Linked DNA regions of Arabidopsis thaliana. The protein of the gene in region 2 binds, or shares a complex with, the protein of the main gene of each other region. Each region holds a gene or a part of one and is shown on either strand. Other genes may lie near its edges.

Evidence for each region.
Region 1: AT3G18500 (region 2) and AT3G44240 share a complex: the UniProt entries of both Arabidopsis thaliana proteins name them as parts of the CCR4-NOT complex.

The regions. Positions count from the first base shown.
Region 1 is NC_003074.8:15,938,247-15,941,695, reverse strand, and holds AT3G44240 (Polynucleotidyl transferase, ribonuclease H-like superfamily protein), read right to left. Parts: upstream 1,513-3,449; coding exon 793-1,512; downstream 1-792. UniProt on the Arabidopsis thaliana protein: Ubiquitous transcription factor required for a diverse set of processes. It is a component of the CCR4 complex involved in the control of gene expression.
Region 2 is NC_003074.8:6,350,371-6,354,307, reverse strand, and holds the start of AT3G18500 (DNAse I-like superfamily protein), read right to left. Parts: upstream 1,837-3,937; 5' UTR 1,765-1,836; coding exon 1,452-1,764; intron 1,278-1,451; coding exon 1,108-1,277; intron 1,038-1,107; coding exon 972-1,037; intron 807-971; coding exon 754-806; intron 661-753; coding exon 579-660; intron 492-578; coding exon 402-491; intron 106-401; coding exon 13-105; intron 1-12. Other genes in the region: ASPG1 (Eukaryotic aspartyl protease family protein), read left to right, coding at 3,716-3,937. UniProt on the Arabidopsis thaliana protein: Acts as a catalytic component of the CCR4-NOT core complex, which in the nucleus seems to be a general transcription factor, and in the cytoplasm the major mRNA deadenylase involved in mRNA turnover.

The DNA.
Region 1 (3,449 bases), 9.6 Mb from region 2:
AATCGGAAAATATCATCTTTAAACCATTTACTTTTCTCGATTTTAATCAAAAAATATCTAGTGAAGTGAGAGAATTTGCAGAAAAATAGCAGGTAGGAACTTTAGATTTTGAATATTTTATTTCTTTTTTTCTGCCTGTGAGCTCATTGTATGAGATATTTATGAAATATTTGAAGTTAATAAATTATTTTTATTAAACATTTTAAATACAGTTCGGACTTAATTAAAATAATAAAAATAATAACTAGATAATCATATACAGTAGTTTAATTCATGATCTATGACGAGGCACAAATATTTGGTATCATATTTGGCAATTTATATAAACTGAGCATTACTAAATTCTATCAAAGCCATGTAAATGAGAATACGATACAAATGGTTATTTGAATAATAGTGTATAAATAAAATTTAGTTAATCACTAAGTTCTATGAAGACAATATCAATCAGAATAGAACTTGATCATTCATGCATCTAAATGATTGTGTAGTATATTAGTATCAACATTTTAGTCAAGTCAACATGTAATGAAGAAAAAGTTCTAGTGTTGAATTAAGATCACAAATCAATACACAGCAGAAACACAAGCTAGGATCACAAGACATGGTAAAGGATGGGAATGATCTTGTTCAATTGGGCCATGTCAAATTATTCTTGGTGTATGCTGCTACTTCTCCATCTTCAATGTATCTTGAGTCTTGAAAACATCTCATTACTAGAAAAATAATTGAACGGACATATATCATTGATCAGTCTTAGGATTAGACAAAGGCACAAAGCACACACACACACTACACTATTGCTTCACTTTCTATAGTTCTTAACTCCAAAGAACCAAAACGAAGAAAGAGAGGAAACGGAGACAGTACCTTAGCGAAAACCATCGCCGTTAACTCGTTATTGGAACCGGCGTGGTGTGCAGTACCAACACGGTTAAGTCCGAACTCATGCGCTAGAGTCTCCAAACCAAGCCTGCTACTTAGTCCTTCACATCGACCCGCCATGACTTTCAAATCGTAAACAGAACCGAGAACTCTCGCGACCGCTTTAGAAAACCTCTCTGAAGTCACAGGTAAAGCTTCTCCGGTGAAACCCTTGAGTAAATAGGCGATGTCGTAAGATCCATGAAACGTGACCCAAGTAATATTCCTCCTCGTCTTCTTCAGCATCCAAAACATCTCCGAGAAGAAACCCTCGATTCTGATGCCCTCTTCTCTAATCTTCCTTAGATCTAGACCGTTGCGTCTAAGGAACTCAATGGATTTCTCGTTTCTAGCATCGTCAACTCCGAAATCAGAGAAATTGATCTCCCATGTTCCTCCAATTCTTCCATTGATATCGAACAGAGTTAGCCCTAACTGGATCAATTTTGCTCTGTCCACACTAAAACTCATATCCATGTAACGTTCCTCATCTGTCGCATGTTGTGTAGTTTCCCTCAAAGTAGATGGAAACTCTGTGTCTATTGCAATGAAACGGTAGCTTCTTAGACAATCTTCTATTAAACTCATCTCCTTGTTCCTATTTCAATTCCAGATTTCACGACCATTTTGTTCGAGAGCGAGAGAAAATAATGTGAGGGAGTCTTGGGACTGAAACTTCTTTATAGAGTCTGTCACCGCCGCAAAAGTCTTGGATTTGATTTTATTAGTTATTTCGGTTTTGGAAAAGGAAATTTCTTGTTTTCTTGCGAGACTAATATTGTAATTACTGATCATTTAAATTCACCTTTCAGGTATTTAAAATTCACAATATTATAAGAAATCAATGCTACAAATTCAGATTATTCTTTTATTGGTTTACTACCAAAAGTAAACCTATTTTTCAACATATTTCATCACTAGCAATATTAATGTGATGAGACTCTTATTGTTAAAAAGACAAAAATTCATAAATGAACTTTCTTTTTCCATTTTATTAGTTAAGATTAATTGTTTTAGTGAAAAATATATTTTCAGATAAATCTATCAAAAAGAATATACTATATTTGTGATTGTAGCTGTTATTGCTAGTATGTTGAATTTAGTCCGTAAATGAGTTCATGTATCTATAAAATTTAGACTGTCAATTTCCTAAAATCAAAATAACTTTCTAATATATTCATCACAATATTAGTGTGATAAGATTACAAATGTTAAAAAGGCAAAAATTTAAAAATAAACTTTCTTTTCTATTTTATATTAATTAAGATGAATCGTTCTAGTAAAACCTATTTTAAAATAATTATATTGTAAAAGGAATGGTATATTTGCAATTGTAGCTCTACTAATCTAGTTGTTAGTATGTTGAATTTAGCAAGGAAATGTATTGGCTTTATCTATAAACTAGATTTTAACCCGCGGTATACCGCACGGTATACCGCGGGACGATTTTAAAAGTAATATATATTAAAATTTGCAATTTTTAATTTTAAAATATATTTATATTTTACAGTTTATAATTGTTATTAAATAACGCTATACCACGAATCCATGAGATAATTGTTAAAAAACTGAAGTTGTAACCCCTATTAAAACAACAGCATAATAATAATTTAAAATTTTATAAATATTGATTCAAATACATCCACCATATAACCCAATTCCAAAATAAAACCTGTTCTATAATTTATTTACCCGTCCTGTGATTTTTTTTTTAAAGTAGTAATTTTTAAAATTTAAGAATTCTTTTTTATATATAAAAGTTTTGTAAATTGTATATTCTCTAATACATTTATATTTTATAATTTAATTATATATATAGTAATATTATACATACCACATAACATTTTTGGTTTTATATAATCTTTTCTAAATTAGGATGATTTGATATGTTTAATATTAGTGATCTTAAAAAATAATAAATTAAAGATTTAACCCGTATTGAAACAGTGGATTAATTATATTTTACTTTTTTATTAATGTTGATTCAAAAACCCGTCACTCCAAATCCGTCTTGCCAAAAAGCCATTTATTTTATTAATATTAATTTTACTAATGATATGACTCTGAATTATAATTTAAATATTTTAGCTGATAACATAGGAGTACACCATATTTATTTAATAGGGGAATGTACCATATGACCCGAATGCACTTTTACCCAAATCCACCAAACAAATGTTGCAAAAATACTATAGAGATAAAAAACGATAGTCGGTTTTGATAGGTATAAGATTAACAAATATATTAGTCAGCTTAAATTAGTTAAAGAATACAAATCGAAAAGGAATATTACACTTTATTCGAATATAGTATCAAAACTTATATAACACAGAGATTTGATAATTTTTTAATTGTTGAATACTTTTTTTTGTGCTAATTTTTATGTGATTAAGATTTAATTGATTTTGTATATAAAATATTAAATTGTTTTACGAACTTATTTGTTTATAATTTGGTAACAGATAGATATTTGAGTATTCAGTATATTTTGCTTCAGTTTAGGAAATCTTTGATGACCCGTCTTT
Region 2 (3,937 bases):
AAAGATACGTACCTTGGGAGTGCTATTGAAATCTCCGCATAGAACAATGGGAATGTCACCCCATTTCTTAGAGAGCAAGTGAGCCTTTGAGCAGAGTGAACGGACCTATCAGTCAAGAACAAGGCAAATCAGGAACTCAAGAAAAAACATAAGCCACGAATTCAATACGTTTTCATGAGCATTAGGACATATACTAATGAACATGTCATGACATATACTAGTAACTTAGACTTGTCTTAGATATTTAAACTAATGCTAGTAAACATCTCTTGACTGAGATTCAGTACAATTTCCTGAAGTCTTAAAGCCAAAGGTGAAAGGGCCAGATCAACATTTTGTAAACTTTCATGACAGTCAATTGCTCGTGTAGCGGATATACAAATTGAAATGTCGAGGCTTACCTGACCCAGCTTCACATCTCCTTGATTTGGATTATAAAGCACGTGAATGTTACCCAGCAGTATCTTTCTTGACTTATTAGACTTCCGGAGCTGACGGGAAACCCAAAAAAAAACTGGATCAGTCAAAGCATATACATGAAAAAAGAAGTTCGTAAAACATTCAAAAAAAATTTCTACCTCAAGAACAGCAAGCTGTGCAACATTATCCCGCATACCAAACTGGCTAAACTCAATGTTTTCCCTCTCCAAAACTCCAAACCTTTTGAAAACAAGATAAATCTTAAACAATGCTGAGTTGTAGTAGTCGTTTTTCTTCACACTAATACAGATTGAGTCAAACAATATGTGCTACCTGTCAGCCTTCCAAAACATTGCGCAACCATCGACGTTATCTCCAGTTCGCCGCTGCCATTGCAAAGCTTATATTTGTAGTCCTTCTATATAAACACAACTTTTGTTGAGGCTTCAGACGAAAAGGTAAATAAAACCAACCGACAAACCATGTCTTACATTTTACCCCATTAATCTTATAAGCATAAAATTTTTCATTGAACAAGGAAATACATCAACCTTATAGGAGCCAGCATATCCAGCTTTCTCCATCATACTGAATAGATCAAAATATTTATCTACTTCCTACAAAGGTCCACAAACAAAATCAACTTAACTATCTTAACACGATATAAAACAAGGTAAAGTTCATTACCTGCATAGAGATTATGTCTGGATTGAGACGAATGAGTTCTTCGCATATCAACCTTTTGCGGTAGCCCCACTTGAGGTAAGGAACAGACACATTGGAGTACAACTCTCTGTGATATGATGAATTTCCATCTCCCAATATGTTGTACGACACTACAGTGAATCTCTCTAAAGCTAATATTACATAGAGACACACTAGTAAGATCCAAAGGCATCCACAATTTCACAAGCTTCATGGACAAACAGTAACTCAAGCTATTACTAATATCTCTAATTTACTAAATCCTAACTAGTTCACAAATTCATAAGTAAGAGCAGAGTTTTTCCATAAGATCATTATTAAACTACCTTGAGAAACTGGAGTTGTATCTGAATCGATCCAATCACGAGCAATCTGAGAAGACGGTATTTGATCGGGATGTTGACGCCGGGGAAGAGGATTCTGCCATCTACGGCTGTAAGAGCGATTTGAAGATGATTCGGGATTTGAATCGGACGGTCCAGATGTGGAGGAGGAGCAACACACGAAAGAGGAACGGAAAGATAGAGACGATAAAGGACATTGATGGAATCCAGATGAAAGGTGACCACCGGAGGGTAAGATACGGTAAGCTTCGCTTGGCCGTGACCAAGAACAATCAACGCGATTCACACAACGCATTCGATTTTGTGGATGTTAGAGACGAAATTCAGAAATTTGGATGAAATCGAAAACCACACAAACCTCTTGGCGCCATACGGATAAATATCTTTTTTTTTTTCTTCCTTTGGTCAGAGAAAAAAAAATACCAAACCATGGGCCATGGGCCAATACTAGTATACTACACCAGGCCTTGTTTAGCTGAGATCCTGTTTTTTGTTATTCGGATTTTTTGTTTTAATGTCTATTGTTTTTTTTTGTGAGTTTGATTTCAATTTATGTCATTTTGTTTCTAATTTTAGTAGGATGTCAGTTTTTATTTTAGTCTAGTTTTATCATGTTAAGAACTTGGAGATGATATTTGATTTTGAGTTATGAGATTTTGTTTTTTCTTTCATCGTCCTTGTAATTTTTTTTTGTTTTTTCATATACTATGATATTATTTCTACTTTTATTGGAGTATCAATTATTTGATTTCAAATTTAGTGATAGTAGCTCAAAAAAAAAAAACCTTACACAAAAAAGTATATGTCTTTTTGTGTAAGGCGATTACTGATTACACACACAAAAAAAAAAATGTCTTCGTTTCTACCTTTTTTTTTGTTGCAATATTGCCTTTGACAAAGAAAAACTCTATGATTGCGTCTACATTATAATGTTCTTTAAACTTTACTATAAAATATCACTAACTAATCTTGAAATACAAATTAGTGAAGGCATATTGTTAAATATAAAAGTGTATGCGATTTAAAACATTACTGATTGAATTGCATAATCTCATTTTATGGAAAAAAAGTAAAGTAGGTATAAGAAAATGGATATAACAAGATTAAAAACAAAAGAGAAATAAATGACACGCAACAACCAAAGCCAAAAGGGTGCGTTACCATTAATTCAGGGAAAGCGAAATAAACCCAAATCTCTCTTCTAACGAAGTAACAACTCACCCACTTCTCACATTGATTCACTCCTTTCCAGTTTTTACATATAGCCTTCGTTCATCAATCACCTTAAGCAAATTGCAATCACAAAAAAAAAAAAGTACAGTACTTAGCAAAATTTTAAGTTTTTGTTATTTCCACGGCAACTTAGCAAATATGCACCACATATTGACATTAGCTAATATACAACACATGTTTTTTTAGAAATGTACAAGCATTAACAAATATCCAACACAAAATGACATGATCGTAGATGATTAAGATAATTCGATCCCTATAACTAATAGTTTCCAAAACTTCTGCTGACTTTTCTCTCGACAGCGATGGTAAGAAGAAGGTACAAAGTTTTGAAGCCCGAATATAACAAAAGGACAGAAAGCTTTTAGTTTTCTAGATAAGATCTTAGCTTTGGTCACGTAAAAAAAATTAAAAGTGAATTGGTTAACAATATAGGAGTACTTTGTATCCAAAGGTCATTGCAATAAATAAACACTTAAGTACTCTGTAGTCACACATCTCTAGGAGCTTAATATTGGATAATCGCTTGTAGACTTGTATTAAAATATTTAGTAGGTCAAATCCCTATCTTCTACAGTTTCTACTCTCGTCCGTACAGACTACAGACACTATGCTATAGTTTTGTGTTGAATTCTACAAAGTACAAATTCTTCTTTCGGTGCCAATAACAAATAAACACAATTCTCAAATTACATTTGTCTAAATTTTTATTTGATTCGGTATAAATGTAACGCTATGTTGGGAATCATATGATAAATCCAGATTAAGACTTCTTATTTAATTTATTTTTGTATATATAAAATATAATATCCAACCATAAAGTTTTTTTACCGATCGATGATAATGTGAATCCAAATATTTTAACAGGATGATAAATAATTGATGTGGCTTTTATAACCGCAGCAATTCTGGCGTGACTCTCTCCGCAGCATTTATTTTTCTCTCTATAAATTAAAAACATTACTTACTCTTTCTCTCTTCCACTTAACTCATATCAACCTTCGCCGGAAATAATGGCTTTCCCGCGATTTCTTTCTCTCCTCGCCGTCGTCACTCTCTCTCTTTTCCTCACCACCACTGATGCTTCCTCTCGCTCTCTATCCACTCCACCTAAAACGAACGTACTCGACGTCGTTTCATCTCTCCAGCAAACACAAACTATCCTCTCACTCGACCCGACTCGTTCCTCACTCACCACCACCAAACCCGAATCCCTATCCGACCCGGTTTTCTTC